Linked DNA regions of Tribolium castaneum. The protein of the gene in region 1 interacts with the protein of each later gene in a biochemical or structural test. Links are inferred from orthologs where the notes say so. Each region holds a gene or a part of one and is shown on either strand. Other genes may lie near its edges.

Region 1 (10,996 bases):
TTTTACGTTTAAAAATAAAATGTAGACCAAAATGATTTCTAAGAAGGCAAAAAATTTGGCATTTCGCCACTATGCTGCCATGTGGTCTAAATTATGAAAAATTGGTTAAATTCAGTGCATTTATAGTGCGTTTGGGCCGGGCCATAAATCCAGGGCCGAACCGAATGAAATATAAAATTTTAGTGTGTTTGGTACCTTCGTACAAGCTTCACGTATCGAATTAGGTCCGTTTCGATTTCGTTGCAAGTTTAATGTTATCGGAACGGACGTATGTACACCGGCTTACATTGACCAGCAAATTCGTGTAAATACCACTACACACGATCGAAGCATTAAATTGTTCGATCTGTGTGGGTAATATCGCACAAGGCCCACCGCTACTAAGCCGGCAATAAATTCCCCCGTAAATCTATAATTTACGCTTTGATTTACGCGCATTCTGAATGCCTATGGAAATTTGTTAATAGATTAAAAGGGATCACGTGGCCGCTTTATTACAGTTTACTTCGTCAAGCCAGAACCTGTCGTTTATTAAACGTCTTCTTTGTTTTGCAGCCGATAAATTGCCGCCGGGCTTCCCCCAAATCACCCAGTCGCCCACCACCAACAAGGTCGTCGAAATTGGGCACAAAGCTGTGCTTTCGTGCGCCGCCACTGGTAATCCGCCGCCCAAGATCACCTGGCTGAAGAACATGCTGCCCATCAACAGCTCCACCAGCCCACGGTACACCATCAGGGACGAAATGCCAGGTAAAAAAACTGAGTTACTTTCCAATCGCTGAAAACCGCTAATTGGGCAAGTTAATCTCGCGGGAAATCAAAACGGTGTCGCACGATTTTAATATGGCGGCTGCTGGCTGGAAGAGGGAAAAACGAAAACGGAGTCATTCGCTTGCAGAGCTTGTCGACGAAAGCTCATCTTTCACTAACTTTCCACCTACAATCTGAAAGCAGCTGCACCCTCTGCATACATGCAGCACAAAAGCTCGCACACTTTTTACACTTTCGAAAGATTCTACCTATAACCCAAATAACTAGAATTTATTTACCATTGTTGGAGGATTCAATCGATAATCGCAACCCAATTGTTATAGTCACGTGGCAAATAGAGTAAATAGACACCAGCGTTGACAGTGCTGCAAGTGACACCATTGGCTCGTTTCACGAGTTGTAATTAATAGACAAAGGCAGGAAATTAAAAATGATACTTATACCAAAAATTATTTTGGTATAAATAATGTTACTTTTGGCCAATTAATATTGTTATTATTTTTATTTTTTAAGTTGATATTTGATTAAAAACGTACTTAAATACTAGCTTAAATAATAACTGCGAGGACAAGGGATGAAAAAAAACAATTTTTAGACTAACAAAAGCGAAGTAATCTCAAAAATGGTTTCCAAAACCAAATTGAAACTCCGATTTTTTAATTAAATTGACACAAATTTCTATTTATTATGGGAGTTTAAAGCTTCATAATTTAAAAAAAAAAAACATGTCAGCAAAAAAATTAAGGCCAAAATGTTATCAAAAGACAGATTGCAAATTTAGTATAAGTCGTGCTTATTATTAGCACAAACTTAATTTTAATTAATTACTTAGTTTAATTCTCACTAAGTTTTTGGCTTATTTTCAGAAGATTCCTGGATTAAATAAATACGTAGGTAATCTAAAAAAAACTTAGACGTTTCGTTTAAGACTTCTTTTCTGTTAGTATCTTTTCTTCTTATCTAAAAAGCGTAAATTGTAACAAAGTGGAAACATGTCTTGATGAGATGAATTTATTCATTAAAACATTAAACATTCTGTATTTCTTTTGTAATAAAATATCAAGTTAAATAAATGCCATCTGTAAACTAAATCACAACTCAAAGAATAACACACAACACCAGAAAGAACGAAAATAACAATAATAACACAAATTCAGAGACAAATCCGAGATTTTAAACAACTTTGCCGAACAGTGCAAGAAATGTTAATCAGTCGTTTTTAAAGACGTTTTAAAAGCCTTGTATAAAATATATCTGCTACAAAATTGATGTTATTTAAGCAGCTTACGTGTTACACATCTCGATTTTCAGTCTCGGTGGACAATATTCAGATCGCGTGCCTAAAACACTTTTTGCAGTTTATTACATAAATATCACATTATTTTAAAATTGGAAAATCAATTAACCCTGCATGAAAATGGGCTTTTTTGCAATTTCTGAACAGACCGAGTGTTTGCTAAACGGTCTCTTTTTTTCGATAATTCGAAATCGCAGTGTATCACTTTGGGTCTTGAGAAATTTTCTTTTTATAAATTTTATATGCAGCGTCTGCTGCGGCGAAACGTAATATAAGCTACGTTTACCCGGCTTGCATATTGATTCAGCCAACCAGGAATAAGGAATATCCGCAAACGAACCACAACAAAAACTCTATTTATCTCCCCGACGTTAAGCTCTGATCTGGCCCAGGAATAATGCTCACACCTCACACAATAACAGCTTTTTATGATTCGACGGGTTTTCTCCCGGTCGGCTATTCACTATAATTACTTATATCCAGCAAGGAAATCCGCCACATCAATAATAATTGTCGCGAACGTGGAAAAAATATGTGCGGTAGAATCATTTCATGCATGGTCGCCGCATCATAATCAATTCTTTGCGGACGATAAATTCAGAATCTACAACCGCCTTGTTAATATCCTATTAGGGGGTATTTAACGGTTTGAAAGCGTTTCGTAACGGGATGCTATCTTGCGAAGGAAGATCACTAAAGCACGTTTCTGGAATTTTAGAAGCTTCTTTGTTAGCTGTTCGTATTTTGTGTGCTCGAACTAATCGAGTGTCCGGTTCACGTGTTTAGTGGAATTCCCCGGACGGATCGTTTTCCCTGGGGAACATTAGTTCTACTGACGGGAGGACTATAGCGAATCATCTCGGCCACTTCACTACCACCTACATTACGCCCACAATGCGAATGCGAATTGCAAAATTTTAAAGCGTCTTTTTATCGTAAAAAATTAAAACGTTACTACTTGAAAAAATAAATCTACTATGTGAGTTCTACCAATGAGATGGCCAATATTTGCAACAGTGAAACTTCTCTAACGCGAATCTCCAAGACGCGGAAAATCTAATTCGAATTAGGAAAAAATATTTCTATCCTTGTACTTTCGTACTGTTTTGACCAAATTACACCGAATGTTGTGCGTAAAACTCCTTGGTTTTGCTAAACGAACCAAAAAATTGTGATTCCAAGATAGATTAAAGGTCGCATTAAGAAATCTTCACTGTAAAAATGACCTAAATTGAGGTACACAGTCAAAATCTTCCAATTTATAGTTTCAGTCATTTTGCCAAATAAGTGTTAAAAAACGTGGTTATTAGTTATTACAACTTCAATATAAATTCTAGAGTTAACTTCCTTTGGCATGATTTGAGTGAGTTAATTTGAATGTATCTACGTGAATATCAGAATATCTTAGCAAGTTCGTACGAATTTTAATGTGATATTTAACCCTAACATTCAGTCTTCACTTCTTGAACTAATTTTTTTCTTAACATAAAATATTGTAGGGTATATATTTTACTTACAGTTCGACCGGAATAGTAATACTTTGATGTAAAGCTCGCCAAAGTTTTATTAACTTTTTTAAAGCTAACGTGTAATTAAAACAAACATTAGAAATAATTTATTTATGTTATAACTTTCCAGTTATGAGTTCCTTAACCAATACTGTAGTTTTATTACTTATTTTTCTGACTACAAGGCTTTATGCCTGTCTTATTTTTTCATAATTGCTGATTGTTATTTTATTCTGAGTCTCCAATTAAATACTGATATGCCATTAATAACAATAACAACAGCCGTTTTAAATAATTTTAACAGCCCTGACTACGCACGTCGCTATATATTCGAAAGACAATTTGCACCAAATTCGTCATTCTAATTATGAATAATTTTGTCCCAAATAATCTCTTGACATTACAAAAACTTCCATCAAAACAAAATAATAATAAAACTTGAGCTAATCTTTAGAAAGAATCACATCTTAGAGTTTTTTATAATTCTAGAGATGTTTTTAATTTAGCAATATCTCTACTCCTATGACATTTTTTATAGTTTCCTTTCATCTTTTGGACAATAATTCTATTAGTTGGGCATTTTACTTATTTTTTAACGAGAATAAATTACCTCTAGTTAAAAAAAATGGTTACATTTATGCAAAAATATTTTTTGGCTTGTCTCTGGTTTTAAAACTTTCCTTATTTTAAAAGATTTTTCTTAGATCTAGCAGAGAAAAGTGTTTCTACGAAGAAAAAAATTTAAATTACTAGAAGCTGAAGATTGTAATTTTACAGTCATTTACACCTTTCTGTGGAGTGACTAAAATTATTTCAATATTTTATGGGTTACTGAAATTGACTTTTTTAGATTATGCAATTTTTATTTAGAAACGTGAATGGTAGATATAATTTTTTTCAGGCACCCTCCAAATTAGAGATAGCGAAGAAAAAGACCAAGGCAAGTACGAGTGCATGGCGGAAAACGCGATCGGTACCGACTACTCCAAGTCAGCTCAACTCTACGTCAAAGGTTGAATTGGTTAGATAATAAAATAGTTGTTTTGTAAAATTTGCTTTCGTAGTGCGTCGTGTTTCTCCCCAATTTTCGATACCTCCAGCGCCGCTGAGTGAAGTGATGTTGGGTGCTAATCTGAACTTGACTTGTGTGGCAGTGGGTTCGCCGATGCCTTTCGTCAAGTGGCGTAAAGGACTCACTCAGGACCTAACTCCTGAAGACAAGTTACCCATTGGGAAGAACACTTTGCAACTAACTAATATTCAAGAGTCTGCTAATTATACTTGTATAGCCGCTAGCGTGTTGGGCGTTATCGATGCTGTTGCTCAGGTCAAAGTACAATGTGAGTAGTAATCCGTCCAAGTTTGAGACTCTGTTGACTATTGATTTGGCGCGAATTTAGCATTACCGGGACCACCTATCAATGTTCGAGCGTCAGAAATCACAGCGACTTCCGTTCGGCTGACTTGGTCCTACAACGGACCGGAGGATCTTCAGTATTACGTCATTCAATTTAAGCCAAAATATGCCAATCAAGCCTTCAGCGAAATATCAGGAATCATTACCATGTATTATACGATTAGAAGCCTTAGTCCCTACACCGAATACGAAATGTACGTCATTGCCGTCAACAATATTGGGAGAGGGCCTCCGAGCGCACCGGAGTTTGTTACCACAGGAGAAACAGGTAATTTCCTCCGGATTCATTAAATTCCGACTGTATTGCAACCACTTGTTCCGCTTCTGTCACTCCACAAACGAACGGCGGTGGCAGAAGCGAAGCAACGGTTTGATTACTGATCTAAAAGAATGGGACCTTTTCCATCCATCACGCGACATGATGATGACAGTAAAGTGTCTTAATCCACCCATAAATTTCGTTTTCTTTCACCCTACTGTTTATCATTTTCATGCAAACTACCCATTTTTCATATGGATTTTGTGCCTATGCCTAATGTAAGTTTTTTTCAGATTTTTGTGTGCATTTTTTACACGACTAGAGTAGTTTTTCACTCACGCCTTTTGGTACTCTCTAGCAATTAGAATTTTGATAAATTTCTTCAAACGCGTCACTATTGGCCACTTTAATTGTTCTTTTTTCTGTTTTAGCTGAAACGTCTTTTGGAGGTGCCAGTAAGTTAAATGTACACAATAAATAATAAGTGGCGTCATTTGTGTAACAGACCTTTCTCATTTTTGTTGTTTTTTTCGGTCGAATCCCTTTTTATTTTACTTTTATGAATGCATATTTCCAACACATTTATTCCGCGATCTGAGTCAACTCCATTTCAGAACCCGGATCGTCACCACGAAACGTGCAAGTCCGACCACTGAGTTCCAGTACCATGGTCATTCAATGGGACGAACCCGAAACGGCAAACGGACAAGTTACCGTAAGTTTTTTACATTGCATTTTTTCCCGAAATTGAAACAATTAAAAAATTGGAATTAACCAGTTTCCAAGTGTATTATGGTTGTTTAGAGGAAATAAATTACTCAGAGACAGTCCACTATATTTCATTGTTGTTAAATTTCCAAAATTATCTTTATTATCATATTCAGGACTAGATGAAAATTTTTTTCTATTTTTTTGTGAAAGTTTTATGCCCGCTATTGAAAAGGACTTTAATAAAATGGGGTAAAATATTTGCCAAAATTCGTTGCATGTTTTTTAAGACATACTGACCTGATAAATATTTAAAAAAATATTTGGTTGAAACTTTTAACTAGCTTTTTGCAACTTTTGCAAGTGTTGAAATTGACACCGATTTTTTTTTCTTAATTTTTTATACGTGTCTCCTAATTGTACTTTTTTCGTAATTTTTCATAATTTTGATGTAAATTCAACTTCCCATTGCTTACTTCAATGTTGCCAAAATAGACGCACTAAAAAGTCTTTGAATGATCGCGTTATCTAGTGAAAAACTACATTTGAAAGTTAATCTCCAGTATATTTTTATTTATGCAGAATATTTGAGTTAGTTTTCCTAATAATAATACCTCGAATAATAATAATACTTCGAAACGATAGAAACTCTTAAGTTACTAATACAAATTATTCACTTTTGAGAAAAATCATCCTTTTGGTACATAATAGCTCGACTTTTCGTATTTTTATAAAACTTTTTTTCGTTTTTTTTTTTTTGTTTCTTTTGATAAAACTGTTATGGATCTATCTTTTCTATACTTATACAGTTTTTCTCTGTGTCTATCATAAAGTTAAAAATGTCCGTTCATTTTCAATTTTAAAACGTTATGTAACCACTTTTTGTATAGTAAGCAATTGAAAAATTTTTTTTTTCAGTTTTTCAGTTCGAAATTTTTTTCAATTGTAGTATTGCCAGCAATGCTCATGGTATTAACAAGAATACAATAGTAATATTGCTTTCGTTTTTCACTTTTAAAGCACGAATTTATCAGCTTTTCAAGTGTTCTATTATTGTTTTCGCGAAACAACGGAATCGTAACTTTTGTACTTTGTTTACAACAATTCACATTTATTTCAGGGACTGCTTAAATAGCTGAAAATATATTCTAAAATCTGATAGAAGTTTGAATGTGGTTACTTGTGACCGTTCTTATGAGTTGAGTTGTTTCAACTCAATAACGTGTAATACTTTGTCCAACGGCTTTATTAACCCACATTTCCTCTTTGTCATCACTAGGGATACAAAGTATACTACACAACCAACTCCCAACTCCCGATGGCCCAATGGGAATCCCAAGTCGTCGACAACAATCAACTAACAACAATCAGCGAACTAACTCCTCACACTATCTACACCATCCGTGTCCAGGCCTTCACTTCAGTAGGTCCTGGCCCGCTCAGTGCCCCCGTCCACGTAAAAACGCAACAAGGTGCGACCATAATTGTTTATAATCATATTTTTGATAACAAAGATTTAAAAATAAAAACAAAAAAATTGAATTTAGATTTTTTTTTACTTATGGGTTGGTCTGTTTAGGCGTCCCAAGCCAACCGAGCAACCTGATGGCGTCGGATATCGGCGAGACCTCCGTCACCCTACAGTGGAGCAAACCGACGCATTCCGGGGAAAACATCGTCAATTACGAGCTCTACTGGAATGACACGTACGCCAAAGAGAAACACCACCGTCGCATACCTATCACCGAATCCTACACATTGACGGGACTTTATCCCAACACTCTGTATTACGTGTGGTTGGCGGCGAGATCGCAACGTGGGGAAGGCGCCACCACACCCCCGATACCAGTCAGAACGAAACAGTACGGTAAGAGAATCCGGTCAGGGGGCGGTTTTTGTGAGTCAAGGGTGGTGATTTTTTGATTTTTGGAGTATTTTTGCGTTGCAACACAGCGTTTGCAATATAAGAACACATGTAGTTTTTGGCAGGGGACGGGGGGCGATTTTGCTGCAATTTGCGCGTTCTAGTCGTGTTGGAAGTACGATGACTTAAGAGCCACGATCACAACTTTTTCAACTGCACCAAGTTTTGACCGAATTTGCACCATTGGTGCAAACGAAAACGGACAAAAACGTTGTTTCGCATTACATCTGAACGAATTTTAAGTATTGGTGTTTTGAAAGCCGCTCCTAAAGAACTACTCAGTTTGTTGAGAGATCAAGTATCGCCCTTGGATCTGAGGTGCTTGTGAATTAGGAAAAAAAAATTCCAAAGTTTCTGTATAAAAAGAGTTTCTTCTTTATTTAGAGTTAAGAAAAAAGTCACGAGGGATTTTGCCATTTTGTATTGAAATTTAGAAATCTCTAAAAACTTTTGTACGATTTGTATAGGGTTTAAAAGTTTTGAAAAAATCACACTTTCTGGAACTCATCCGCATTCCGCTATCATCGCTTGCTTGTAATTTATACAAAAGTTGAAATTTTAATTAATTTTTGCTATTCTGGGAAACGCATTAAAAAAACTATTGTTGGGGCTGTTATAAAAACGTAAATCCGTCTCTTTTCATATTTTATTGTACGATAACGAATTCTCCATAACAGGTATAGTGTGCAGACGAGAGAACATCAAAACTTTATATCGCACGACGAGGTTTATAAGGATGGCTTGTTAAAACACAATGAAATATTTTTAGGCGTACATTTGCGGTCTAGAAACTCGTGTTGTAAATTTGGCCAAAATGTGAAAATAATACGTCTGGCAGTTTAAAAAGTTGTGCTTGTGGTGTCTTTTGCTGTCGGCGACGGCACGACCTGAACTCGTCGATTCAGACTTGAGACTAATGTTGCATTGTTTTAAAAATGCGATTGATCGGAACTTACGTTCCAGAAGTGTGTAAGTTTACTAAAACTATTTGAATTAATGCCGTTGTGGATGCGTGATGGATGAGTGTTTTATTTTTCTTGTGGAATTGCATTTGCATGCCAGTAACTAGTCGTCAGTGGATATTAATTTGTTAATGAGCACTGCACAAAGTAATGCTATGCCGTTTTTTTAATGAACTGTGTGCAATTGAGCACCTTTCACTTGTTTTATTTGTTTTTCATTTGTTTTTTGGTATTGTTTTACCGTTTCATTTGACGTGTATATCTCTCTACCAGGTAGTGAAAATTTTTATTTTAATATCCACTTGTTGTCATTTTTCGTGAGTTTTGATTAAGAGAGTCATATTCATATTGAGTAACAGTAAAAACTAGGCTATAAGCTTTTGGCTTAAGTTAACACGCTAACGCCACCGTAGTACCGGGCGCTCCGCCCAGCAACGTTACCGGTGAGGCGGTAAGTCCGACTGCCATCCGAGTCACCTGGGAGCCGCCGCTTGCTAACCGCAGTCATGGAAACATTATATACTACAAGCTGCAGTATGTCGAAGCAGATAGATCTGATAGCGAAGCTATAGAAGTTAAAATGAACGCTACTAGTTTTGTGCTTGACGAACTTAAAAGATGGACCACTTACCGAATCTGGGTCCTGGCTGGCACCTCAGTCGGGGACGGACCCAGCTCATTCCCCATCACCGTGCGAACCCATGAAGATGGTACGTTCTGTTTTTGATTCCATCTAACTATGATAAGAACGGTGATGTTTAAACTAAGATGTGGGGCGACGAGGACGGGGCGCCTTAGCGATCCGGACTCGTCCCCGATTATAATAAATGTGTTACCACAGTTGACAGCTTACGAAAGGAGTTTGTGTAAAACAATAAACATGTTGTGATTCGAGAACAGCGACGGTCTTGTCTACAGTGTAGTCAACGAATTCGGCGCCACCGCACAAACTTATTCAATTTTTCAGAACGTTATGTTTTTGTGCGGTGGCGCTCGAGTCTGCGACGCCTTGCTCCCTACACCTCATCAAATTTTCCCTCTTTATTTGCGATTTTCGTTATGATTTGCAGGGGACGTTCCGTCCGCCTGGCCTTCTAGTTGTAGTTTTTGATGAGATTTTTGACATATCCGTTGTGATATGTGTGACTTAACCATTTTTTAACCATTGCAGCCCGCCCAGGAAGGATTTTTTGAAGCTGGTTTTGTGAATTTTTGTGATTTTTTGCAGCTGTTATTTTTGAGACCTCACGTGAACCTCATAGTGTAGTGAACTATAAACAAAATTAATTTTTAATGTTTTTTCTTCTGTCTACAAAAGCGTTTGCAGGAGCTGAATTAAAGAGGTTTTTCCGACGAATTTTTTCAATAACTGTTTTTTCGGTATTTCTAAAAATTTCTAGTTAATTGTGTTTATTTATTGTTTTGTTCGATTTTTCGTTCCTTGTTGTTATTGTTTTAGCTACTCACGTTCACATGTAATGATTGCTTATTGATTTTCATTCGCACAGAGTTGCATTGCAATGGCACATTTTTTGAGTCACAATCGGCACTCTTTATTTTTATATAATTATGAGTATTAATTTTTTTAGTTGATTTCGTGCACCGTTTTCGTAATTTAGTAACACACCACCTAGCATGCTGGTGACAGTCCCTCAACCTCCCGTTAATTCCTTCGATTCCTTCAGCTCCTGATCCCTTGTCTATCGCTAGGCAGCACCTCACTCTCACAAGTAGGTGACATGCGCACTTTAATATGGCACATTTATATCACATTTCACTGTGTGTAAACTACACTTGCACCATTTTTTGTGTGTGATTGTATGACTGAGAACTAATACTGATGCTAAAAGGAAAAGTAACCGATTAACGCCACAGTTGTGTACATTTGGAGTAGAAAACTGCTCCACGAAGACTAGTTTTTTGAGAGAGCTAACAGTTGGTCAAGTCTTGTTTTGGCTCGCTTCTCGATTTTCAGGCACAGCTTGGAATTGTCACATTTGAATACCAATACTTAACACTACTCGTAGACCGTAGGAGATAATAATAGTGATGCTATGGGCATGCTATATTTGACATTATTATATCTGGTATCTGCTCTAACGATTTAGCCGATTGATTTCTTTTATTTCTTTGGTGCATGAAGAAGCAGA
Region 2 (11,096 bases), about 29 Mb from region 1:
TCTTTTGCAAATATTTTAACACAAACTTTTTAAATAAATCAACATTACAAACTATACAGAGTGGTCTACGAGTAATAATGAGCCTAAAAATTTTTTGAAGCATCCAACATTATATTTCGTAATTAACGTGAAAACAAAGAAAATGTACAGGCACTTTATGACAAAGAATGTAAAAATGTTATATATAGTGAGCGATTTTTTTTACTAATTGGTTTACTTGTAATAACATAAAGACTAGTGCAGTTTTAAAGGGTGAAGGCCTTATTTCTCTAGTAGAATTTCTCTTTGTTGGAGTGAAAATAATAGGTATCCTGTATTATTTGTTTTTTATTTTCGTGTTGCTTATATCTCGGTTTATATCTAATACGTTGTTTGAATAGTTTCTATATCTCTGGATCCAGATTCAGCTCGAGTAGTTTAATTACAGTAATATGCAGCGTTGTGTTTACAATAATTTGCTGCACAGCATTGTATCTTGCATTGTTATTAAATAAAATCGTCGTAATAAAGACCCGGAAGACAGTAAGTTGCAACAAATCACAAAATACTTCTGTTCTTAACTGTTTATTTTAGTTTAGTTTTTGATTGTTAAGTACTTTAAATTGCAAGAGTGAAGTACAATAATCAACGAGGGAAGAAAGAAACCAAGTTTATAGTGAGAATAGCCCCTAAAATATTTTCGTATTAATTGCGTTCAAGATTTGCTTCTTCAAAAGTTCTCTAGACCACGAAATTGATTTAAAAACTGTATTGAGCAAAAAATATTAAGTAATTATTATAACACCACCTAACAACGATTTATGTAATAAATTTGAGAGAAAGGTGTACACGCTATTCCCTAGCTTTTCCCGATTTTTTAACTTTTTGTAACACAATTACGAGAATAAATATTCTTGTTTTATTTTTTATAGCATGAAACAATTATTATGTATAAATTTTATGAAAAAAAAGACAGGATTGACATCCTCATTTCTATGTACACAACTCGTTTAAATTAAAGTGAAATAAGTTTTTGCAGACTTATCATTAAATAAGTAATTTAATTATATAAAAATATTGAATTCCTATTGCATTTTCAGTAACTACTTCACCTTCTGAACACGTATGTTGCGTTGTAGTTGACTTTTGACTAAAACTTCAAAAAGCCTTTTACGTTTTGACTATGATTTTAGACTTATAAGCAGATCCAAGTTAAGAAAGTTGTCAGATTTGCTGCTATTATCACAAAAAGGTCTGATTAAGTCTTTAGGTAGAAAAAATGGAGATTTTTTGTATATTATTATTTACCTAGAAAATCAAAATGCAAAGACAGAGAAAGAGGGGAATGAAAAAACATTAGAAACAAAAGAAAAGGGTATAATTGTTTAAAAAAATTAAAATAGGGGAAAAGAAAACTCTACAAAAAAATTAAGACGATTTAAAAAAATACTTAAAAAAGTGGAAAGCAAGTTACTGCACAAAATAATACTAGGAGCAAACAAGAAAGGAAATAATAATGGTAGAAGTAATCAAGTAAGTACTCAAGAGGGGTATACCCAAAAATAAATGAGGAATATAATAGGAAGATTGAAGGAAGAAAAGGCGCAGGAAAAAAAAGTTTGGAAAAAAAGATTTCCAACAGAATTAAGATTAATATACATAATAATAAGTACGAAACATAAAAAAGAAAAAAAAACACGGAAAAAATCATTATACATAAAGCGATAGGAAAAAGCAAAAGAAAGGGAACTGAAAGATCATCAAGTGACGCTGGAAAGTTAGATATAAAAAATAATAATTTGAAAATGATGAAAAACCATCTGGATCATAATACTCCATGAAAAAACAAAACCAAAAAAAAATAAAAAAGAAATATAGACGAAAGAAACAAGTAAAGAATTAAACAAAATAAAAAACGAAAAATATAAATAGGTCTACATGTAAAACATAAACAAACCCTTTGAGAAATTAGTTAATTCTAAAAATGAGAAGTATATGAAGTATTTGGAATAATCACAATTAGTTGGGCCTACTGTTAAGTCATATTACATACATCTTATTTCTTTCCATTAAAATTGGTTACGATTTTAACTGTTGTTAAAGAAAATACGTGCCTTATTTCTAAATTAATACTAGTATTAATGTACTAGATCCTAATGTGCGATCCTAAACTTAAAACTAAAATTAATGTAATACACCAGGCAACTGGTTATACACGTGTGTTTAAAAACTGTATAAAGCCGGTTTAAATTATAAAGCACGTTTCACACAATTTTAGGAGAACTGCGCGTTCGGTATGCAACCAACAATACACATTCTGCTATTTGTGTTAGGGCCGCTTTACAACCGTCCGATAACTTTATCCAGGGGATAAATTTTGAAAAATGCGTTAAAATACATGCACTAATGCAGTATTATTGTTTCATTTTAAAGGCAGAAAACCGAAGGAAATAGATAATACTTGTCCAAGACAGAGAAATTTTAAAATTTGATCGCTAAGATCAAGTAATAATGAATTATGTTGCACCAATAATTGGAAAGACAGCATAAAGTTGATTATTTACATTTTAATCAGTAAATCGACAATGAAGGACAATTGTAAATTTTTTTACTCTTAACTTCCGATTTGTTTAGCTCCTTGGATCAAACTCCCAAAAGACGGATGTCAATTTTGAGACACCAATTTTTCTACTGCTTTTTGCTATGATTTTGAACTGTGTATGGTATTATTTAAAATGTTAAAAGTGCAGAAAAAAGGCAACGGCACGCGGTGTTCCTAAGCGGTCACCCATCCAAGTACTAACCGCGCCCGATGCTGCTTGACTTCGGTGATCAGACGAGAACTGGTATTCGGAAATAAAATTAACTAGACGCCCTCTGGTGATGACTTTTGAACTATGTCGAAAACAGTAAAGAAATTTTCGTAATGCCACATTTAACTGACATTTAATGAATTGTTCAACAATTTTGCGTGTATAGTGTTAATTACTTACAATAGAAAGAATTACTTTAAAAGTACGTGGTGGTAAATACTAGCGTTGACTTTGGTTCTGTAGTTTTTCGTGGTATAAAGTGTTTATTGTTGGAACTTGAAAGTGGATAAAAAGTGAAAAATATTTAAATTTTGATTACAAAGTGTTATCAAACAGTTGTCTAATTAAAGATTATAAGTAATGGATCACAGCGAACACAAAGTTTGGCTCAAGAAACCAATAAATTAGTGAAGTGTTATGAATTTTAGGTTAGAATTTTCCACTGAAAAAATCATGAAATGCTGCGGTAAATCTACAAAACGACAATAAAGATTAACAACTGCTGATACATTTAAACGTAAATTATGCCAAAAGGTAGGCTTTTCAATGTCTTTGTAATAATTTTCCAATAAAGAAAGTGAACCAAACAGTCATTCGTTATTCGTGTTTTCCTCGTCATCTCTCATTTGTCAACATAAGTTTCTTGCATCAAAGATGCAATAATCATTCCGCATAGGCAATGTAATAATTGTGAAGCCTCAAAATTCGTACAACGCTCAAAATATCCGAATAAACATTTTCACGCCATTTATGGTTACTGTTTTCGACCTAGCTCAGTGGCGCCCCCAACGGTAATTTTATTTCCGAATATTCAGCATGGTATGGCCGTTGCCTAACAATTTTGTCATTTCCAAAGGAGATTAACAAGGAATTCCTAATCATATTAAGGACGTATTACATTCATGCACATTTTACGAACTATTTAAATCACTTTACAAACGATTTTAACGGTCTTTAATGAGCTATGTTAATGAGTTAATGATATTTGAGTCCAGAAAATACTACTTTCCAGACTACACATTTACTGTACCGATGATTGAGAAATTAAACTAACTTTTAGTTAAATACCTTTGTTTAAAAAATAATTAGCCACATACCTTGACTTTTTAAGAAACACTTTAACAACACTGACAGCACAAAATTAAAAACTTAATTTCAAATGTTACTTGATTTTATGGTGGATGCGTTAAAAGTCCGACTGTGCAACAGTTCGAAATAAATTTATTTTATTATTGTCTATTTAATATTTTTCAGAATACAACAATGATCTCTTCTTAGTTAGATTTACCAAAAGTTTTTTGTTTGTTCTAATTAGCAAATATTATTTAAATACTATTTAATGCAAAAACACGTCGCGGCATTAATTCGAATTTACAACAGTTAGAATGACTATGTGTATAAGTAGTTGCATATCAATTCTAGAAGGGTACCCAATTTTAGCAATTTTAATAACAAAACAATCGATGTTTAAACGAAATATCAAATTTTAAGTGCCCATAATGCACTTTTATCGCCTTCAAGCACAATAATACATAAAGTTAGATAAAATATGTATAATGTGTTGCCTACCCGGCCGTTCATTGATAGGAATTCTCGCTATCTATGGCTGAATTTCTTAAATATGGCGGAGTAGACGTATGGTGCGATTGATCTATCCCGACTAATCGTTAAAACGACGGTTTTCTCGCGTCCGTAAAATGCCAAATAACTGAGACCGAAGCTGTTGCGGTTCTTGGAGTGTCGTGCGTGAGTATTATGTAGTTGTGTTGTGGGGTTTTCGAATCCGCCACCCTTTTGAGTGCGGTGTGCGAGTGTGTGCATCTTTCTTCCTATGTGTGTGTGCATACGTCAGAGGGGGATTAAGTGACAATCCGGGAGGGTATGTTTGCAAGCCATGGGCGCCCAAAACACCAAGGAACGACCAGTGATCGGCACCCACCACTCGATTAGAACGGCCAGAAGTAGACCCCGAGCAACGAAAGATGGACGGCAGATTGTCTCAAATATTTTCACCGAACACAGCGGTATGAATGATTCATCCAATTTCTTGTTATTATTGTTATTAGTCTAGTAGGCACGTGTTAATCGATTGGCGATTGTTTCGATCGATCTGTCAAAATTCCACGGAAGTCGCGATCGGTTCGCTTTGACAGGTTGTTGTGTTTTTTGTGGGGTTGTTCCGGTCAGGACCGGATTACGGTTGAAAAAGCCCCGAAGCGGATCTAGAAGGCGCCCCCTACTAGTCTTCACTCCAATTTTACATATTATAATTTATATTTGTTGTTTTTTACACGGTTTTTAACAATAAATATTTATGTGTTACGGCACTAAAGTCTTATTTTTCGTTACAAATGACTTTGGGTTTAATCGCCAAGGCGACAGAGGCAAATAAAATGAAGAATGACTGTCACAATTGACAGTTTACTCCAATGTTGTCACATGTCGCAAAAACCACAAAATAACTGAGAAAACCACAAAACAGGAAAAATATTTGTAATTTATTGACAAGATTCACGTTTCGTCGTTATCCCATGTTTACATTAAAACAACAATTTGATACACAAAACCTGGAAAAAATATTTTAGTTAAAATGCTAAGAAAGTTTAAATTAATTAGTAAGTACATAAATAAAAAACAAATTTTAATTTCAGGTTCTATGGTTTTCTTACTTTTTTAAGAGTAATGTATTGTTGAATATTTCTCAAAATATTAGTGACAAATTATGGACATAAGTAGTTTTTCGAGTGCCATTTCTATATCTATGACATATCTGTCATGGTGAAAGTACAAATAACTGTTGGAAATTGGTGAAATTCTTTGTTATTTTGTGAAGTTTGCAGAATTTTTACAATAGTGTTCCGTTGTGACAGAGAAGTCTATTTTACAATTTGAAATAATGGAAATCGACAATGACGTATCGCAAATTATATTTTTGGAAAATTATTATTTCGAGCTTAGTGCCACAAAAGATTTCGGACAAATGTTAAATAAAACGGAAAATAATAATATACAGAGTGAGTTTTAAAGTAACGCATAAAATTCATATTCTTGTTATTATAATTTTTCAAAATAAGTATAAAACAATCGCCCTTATAAATTAAGGCAAAATAAAAAAGATTAAGCTATTATCATGTTTTTTTTTATTTTTTTCTTTGTTTTCTTCTTTTTATGATTCTTTTAAATATTTATTTCTTCACTTTTTCATTCATACTATAAAGATAGGAGAGTATACCACCAAAACAGTAAACAAAAATATTGGTTGCCATTAAAAAAATTAAAAATGCCATTATTCAGAAGTGACGTCATGTTACCATGGTGCCAAAATGTAACATTTACAAATATAAAATCGACCTGTTCGAGCATTTTTTTGAAAAAAGATAACAAAAATACGAAGTTTATGACTTAATTTAAACCCACCCTATGTTTTTTGACTTGTGCTGGAGCAAGTTTTGCTATTTTTCAGCAAGAAATCGTCAAAAATCAACTATTTTTCAAAAAAATGGAACTAAAATCGTAGTTTTTGGAGTCAAAATGAAGTGATTTCAGGTTTTCTACAGCGAATTTCGCCATTTTTGAGCAAGTAGTCGCTGAAAATCAACTGATTTCTTAAAAATTGTCGTTTTCAGCCAGTATAAGGCGATTTCATTGAGCAAGACTAGAAAATATAAGCTTATAAAATAACGTAAAGTATTCTAGGATAACTGGTTTTTAAAACACTTGATCTATTTCGAGCACTCCGGCTACGCCGTCGTGCGCGAAAAACCGATCGTTTTAAAGACCTGAATATCCACTTGTACTTTAATATACTATTCTATCACGACTAGATTTTGAGTTATATTTGTGTTATAATAAACTATCTTGAATCTTGAATACATAGAATAACATAGTACTTTTTACATATGTTTTTTGAGTGGGTAATTAACAGGTTTAGTAGTTGCTGTCAGACAAAAATTAAGTTTTACACAAGAGAAAGGTAAAATATAAACAAGAGAAATAAATGAATTGTCATTTTTAATTTATTACAAAACGATTTTTTATTTGTTGTGTTTCTTTTTGTTTGTTAAATGCGCCCCTAGGCTAGACCTAGACATCGTGTTTTGTAATCCGGCCCTGGTTCCGGTGGTTCAAAGGCCGGAGCGAGCAAGCGACGACGAGTTCATTCATGTCGATTTTGCCTCTCTGTCCTCGATTCGGGACTGTTTTGTCCCCTGCTGAGTTTCCCCTAAGCTAGCCAGCCTAGCCTTCTCGTCGTCTCGTCTCGATTTCTAATAAATAAAGCCAATTCTCTTTCTCCACTTTCTTATTGCAATTAGGAAAATTACGGTTTTAGGGGGTAGAGAGGGGGACGAAAGTTTGTTAATTGCTCGAAATTGTTTCACTGGTTTGACGGCCAATTGGTTTAATCGAGCGAAAGGTCGCACCGAATAATGGTTATTGCGACTTGTTTGCAACCAAAACTAACAAATTTTCTAATATTTACAACCCTGAACAATAAACGTGCTTTAATTAATGATATAATAATAACTTCTTTATCTTTTTAGTAATAATAAAATTACAAAATGAAATTAAAAATAAAGGTTTTTTCTTTGTTATTGCTTTATTTTATGAAGGGCGATTATTTTTTTAATTTTTTTAAAGAATTAACATGAAAACACTTATTACGATATCTAAAGACAAAAAAAATAAAAAAATCATTTCTTATAAAATAATGCCAGAATCTTTTGTAAAATTATCCATAACTTTTTTATTTTGTTTTATTTTTTTTTGAATTTTTTACATTTGCTATAAAGATATAAAACTACTGTCAAAAACCCTTAAACAAAAATTTCGGTTGCTTTTAGAAAAAATAAAAATAAAAAAGTACCTTATTTCTTAAAAACTAGCGACGTCAAAAATTTTGAAATACAAATGCCAAAGTGTAATATTTAGACCTGTTCGAAGATTTTTTTTGAAAAAAAAGCCATAGCAAGTATAAGAATTTTATGCGTTATTTTAATACTCTGTATAACTTGTATCATAATGTTTGAAATACAGAGCGAAATAAAAAATAGAACATGAATTTTCCATCATTTTTTTTAATGTGGGGTATATTCTGTTTCAAATCTTCAGAAGGTAGGCAGATTGTAGGTAAGTAAATTTCAGATTTATATTGCCTGTGTAAGAAAAGTTCTACACTATGCCTTCTAGAAGAGAAAAAAAAGAAAAATGACTTTTCTTTTATGCTAAACGAAATTAATTCTATTTCTCAAATCTTTGCATTTGCATTTTTAGGCTCTGTAATAGAAAAAATAAATATGTTATACAGGGTGAATTCACAGAAATCAGCGTCTTACTATTAATTTTTTTATTTCTTCTTCAGAATTTTTCCATAATTTTTTTACCTTTCTTTAAAATACAGGCTGATTCTTTTACAGCACACATTAGAAACTTTTTAACATCAAATACAGCCAGAGCCTTAAGATTTTGTATACGATTCAAATCAACTATTCTGAGTTTAACAAAATCATCTTTCAAATGGCTGAACTTCCGGAACAATGTGAAATTGGCTTTCTAACCCTGTACAATAAATGAATACTTTTTTTGCATTTGATAACTAAAGGTTTAAAGGATCTTCTAGAATTATCTGAATTGTCAACTGTTAAATTGCATGGCTACTATGATTTTTTGAAAATGAGGATCAAAATATGATTGTAACAGTTTTTTCAAATGGAACTAGCCTGTACTAGCCTTGAGTTTTGACAGTTGACAATTTTGAAAATTCTAGAAGGCTCTTCGAACCTTCATTTATCGAATGCAGTAAAAAATACTCGGTTATTGTAAAAGGTTTAAGGGTTGTGATATTTTAAATAAACCTAAGCAAATGAAAATTTTAACAAAAAAAGTGACATATGTCGAAAACTATGACAGATAAGTACCAACAACTTGGGTTAATTTGACTCAGTTTGAGAAGGTGAATACCAAGATCCAATCAAAATATGTGGTTACTATTTAAAATTCCAAAGTTGAAGCGTTAACTGTATTAGAAGTTAAAAAGTTTCTAATGAAACTTATTCTACAAGAATAACCCTGTATATTCGATTCCAATTTTTTTATTTTATTTTTAGTTCTATTATATTTATTTTTTTATTTTTAATTCCAGTTCTTTATTTTTGTAGTGCTATTGGTTTTCTATATTTCGATTTTTGATTTATTTATTTAAATTTTAGTGTCTTTTACGCGTTGTCCACCGCTCGCCTAATACTTGTCCTCCTGTCTCGTCTATTTATTTTGATTAAAACTCCATTGTGCGCGCACAAAAGCTGCATAAAACAGGATGAAAATCATCTTGTTTATATTTTATTGTGTTCGTCACCCGAGTCAGCAGAAGACGAACAAATTGAACAACGTCTGGATCGATTACATCCGACTTTGAAACGGCACCGACGTTATGTGAAAGGTGGGCGAAAATTACCATAAAACAAAATTTCCTTCTATTGTTGGCTTGTCAGTTTCCGAAATCTCGTTTCCTGAATAAGCAGTTATTACCCGAGCGAAAAATATTTTTTGCAAAAACCTCGCGTGCTGAACACACCCTGGCAAACGAATTAATCGACGCACTTTCATATTTAAACTAGTTCCAAAATTAGTCCAGAAGTACTCCTGTTTTGGCGTGAAAGTATCTATTTGATCGGAAACTAGAAATGTCAATGTGACGAAAAGGAAATGAGTTGACGCCCAGATTCCTCAAACATTTCCTTCAAATAATTTAAACACAAAATTTCAATAGAGGCAAGTTCGTTGACATGACGTGAACTTATTCAAAGGCGACAATTAATATTACAAAAGTCCGATCGATCGGTACAATAAAATTCAGTTGCTTTCATTAAAACACCAAAACTCAACTTGAATCGTTTGCTTTTGAGCGAAATGAAAATTTCACACCTTTTCACCGCATAATCAATCGATGAAGACGAAACGAACCCCGAATTAAATTTTTTTCAGGAGATGAATGCGTTGTGACACATTCTTGAAGGATAAAAAGCGTAATGAAAGACCTCAATGCAGTGTGTCAAGCATGAAATCTAAAGAGATTAAAAAACAGTCAAGGTTGGAGGTATTATGGTAAACATTGTTACTTCCAAGCTGAGCACACACTGCCATAAAATCATATTTAATAAATAAATCGAACTTTCGATAAGAGCAAATTAAATTACGCTCACGAATTCTTCGTTATCTTCTCTATTGTATTAATATCCAGAAATAAAAGAATTAAGCGGAAATGACTTTCTTTGTTCAATAAATAACAACGAAACTTCACTTGACTGACGATGTAATTACACTTGCAAAAGTCGGAAATCTAGGTTTAAAACTTTATGAAATTGAAATTAAAATCGAAAACCATGAATTTCTCGCATTTCAAGGTCGTTTCAGACCGTAAAATGAGCATTTTTTCATTTGTTGAAAAAATAAAAAGTTCTAACATTGAGAAAATTACACGGAAAGAAAGTAATTAAAACGGAAATTATTGTAAATTAAACAGCTGAGCTACTTATTAGTAATGTGTTGTGGGCTCGATAAATACATTTTATTTTTGACTATAAAAGACCTTTAACTTCTCCTAAAAACTTTAACAGTTAAGTCTTTTGTTGATGTTATTCAAAAGTTATTTAACTTTTAACAAATTTATTAATGTTTCTATGTTTCTAATTGCAATGCCTTAAACAATTGGAACAGATTTAAGTTTGTTTTTTCCCTTTAAAGTGTCGGTAAAGTCCTACTTTTCTACGATTTTTCGTTATTGTGAAATAAATTTTCAAATAAAAAAAACAAAAGTACAGTAAAACCTCTCAACAACGGACACCAATGCGGAATTTTTAATTGTCCGTTGTGGAGAGGTGTCCACTAGTGGGAGGTGTAAATCTCAATATAGGTTTTGTTACGTTTCTACAAAAATGTCCGTTGTGAAGAGGTGTCCGTTATTCGGATCTGTCCATTAAGGAGGTTTCGCTGTATTTAAAAAATTAAGCAGAATCGACCAAGACAGGTTTAGATAAAAATCATCAGTATTAAAAGCCAAGTCAAAAAATGCAATAACATGTAGGGCTTTTCCATTTGAAAATTTTTTTTCTTAATATTGGGACACTTTGTATATATACCGCAATACTTTGAAAACACGTAATAGAAACGCAACTATAATTAAAAAAAAGAATAAGTTAATATCTCTAATAATAAACCAGTTGTGGGGCTTTTTCGGATCGTTGGGACAGCCTGTATATGTATTGCAAGAGTTTTTCTGAGTGATTTCAACCAATTTTTTGTATTATT

Evidence for each region. The genes of interacting proteins can lie anywhere in the genome.
Region 2: of the proteins of Lar (region 1) and Abl, one has a biochemical effect on the other in vitro, tested with the Drosophila melanogaster proteins (2 studies listed by BioGRID, with this or other methods). The link is inferred for Tribolium castaneum from reciprocal best matches to the Drosophila melanogaster genes Lar and Abl.

What each region holds. Positions count from the first base shown.
Region 1 is NC_087394.1:34,996,141-35,007,136, reverse strand, and holds part of Lar (tyrosine-protein phosphatase Lar), read left to right. Parts: intron 1-555; coding exon 556-750; intron 751-4,477; coding exon 4,478-4,588; intron 4,589-4,640; coding exon 4,641-4,916; intron 4,917-4,976; coding exon 4,977-5,261; intron 5,262-5,683; coding exon 5,684-5,707; intron 5,708-5,866; coding exon 5,867-5,967; intron 5,968-7,239; coding exon 7,240-7,432; intron 7,433-7,539; coding exon 7,540-7,827; intron 7,828-9,259; coding exon 9,260-9,556; intron 9,557-10,996. UniProt on the Drosophila melanogaster protein: Possible cell adhesion receptor. It possesses an intrinsic protein tyrosine phosphatase activity (PTPase). It controls motor axon guidance. In the developing eye, has a role in normal axonal targeting of the R7 photoreceptor, where it negatively regulates bdl.
Region 2 is NC_087394.1:5,577,903-5,588,998, forward strand, and holds the start of Abl (tyrosine-protein kinase Abl), read left to right. Parts: upstream 1-4,387; 5' UTR 4,388-4,686; coding exon 4,687-4,816; intron 4,817-11,096. UniProt on the Drosophila melanogaster protein: Arm and Abl proteins function cooperatively at adherens junctions in both the CNS and epidermis; critical for embryonic epithelial morphogenesis regulating cell shape changes and cell migration.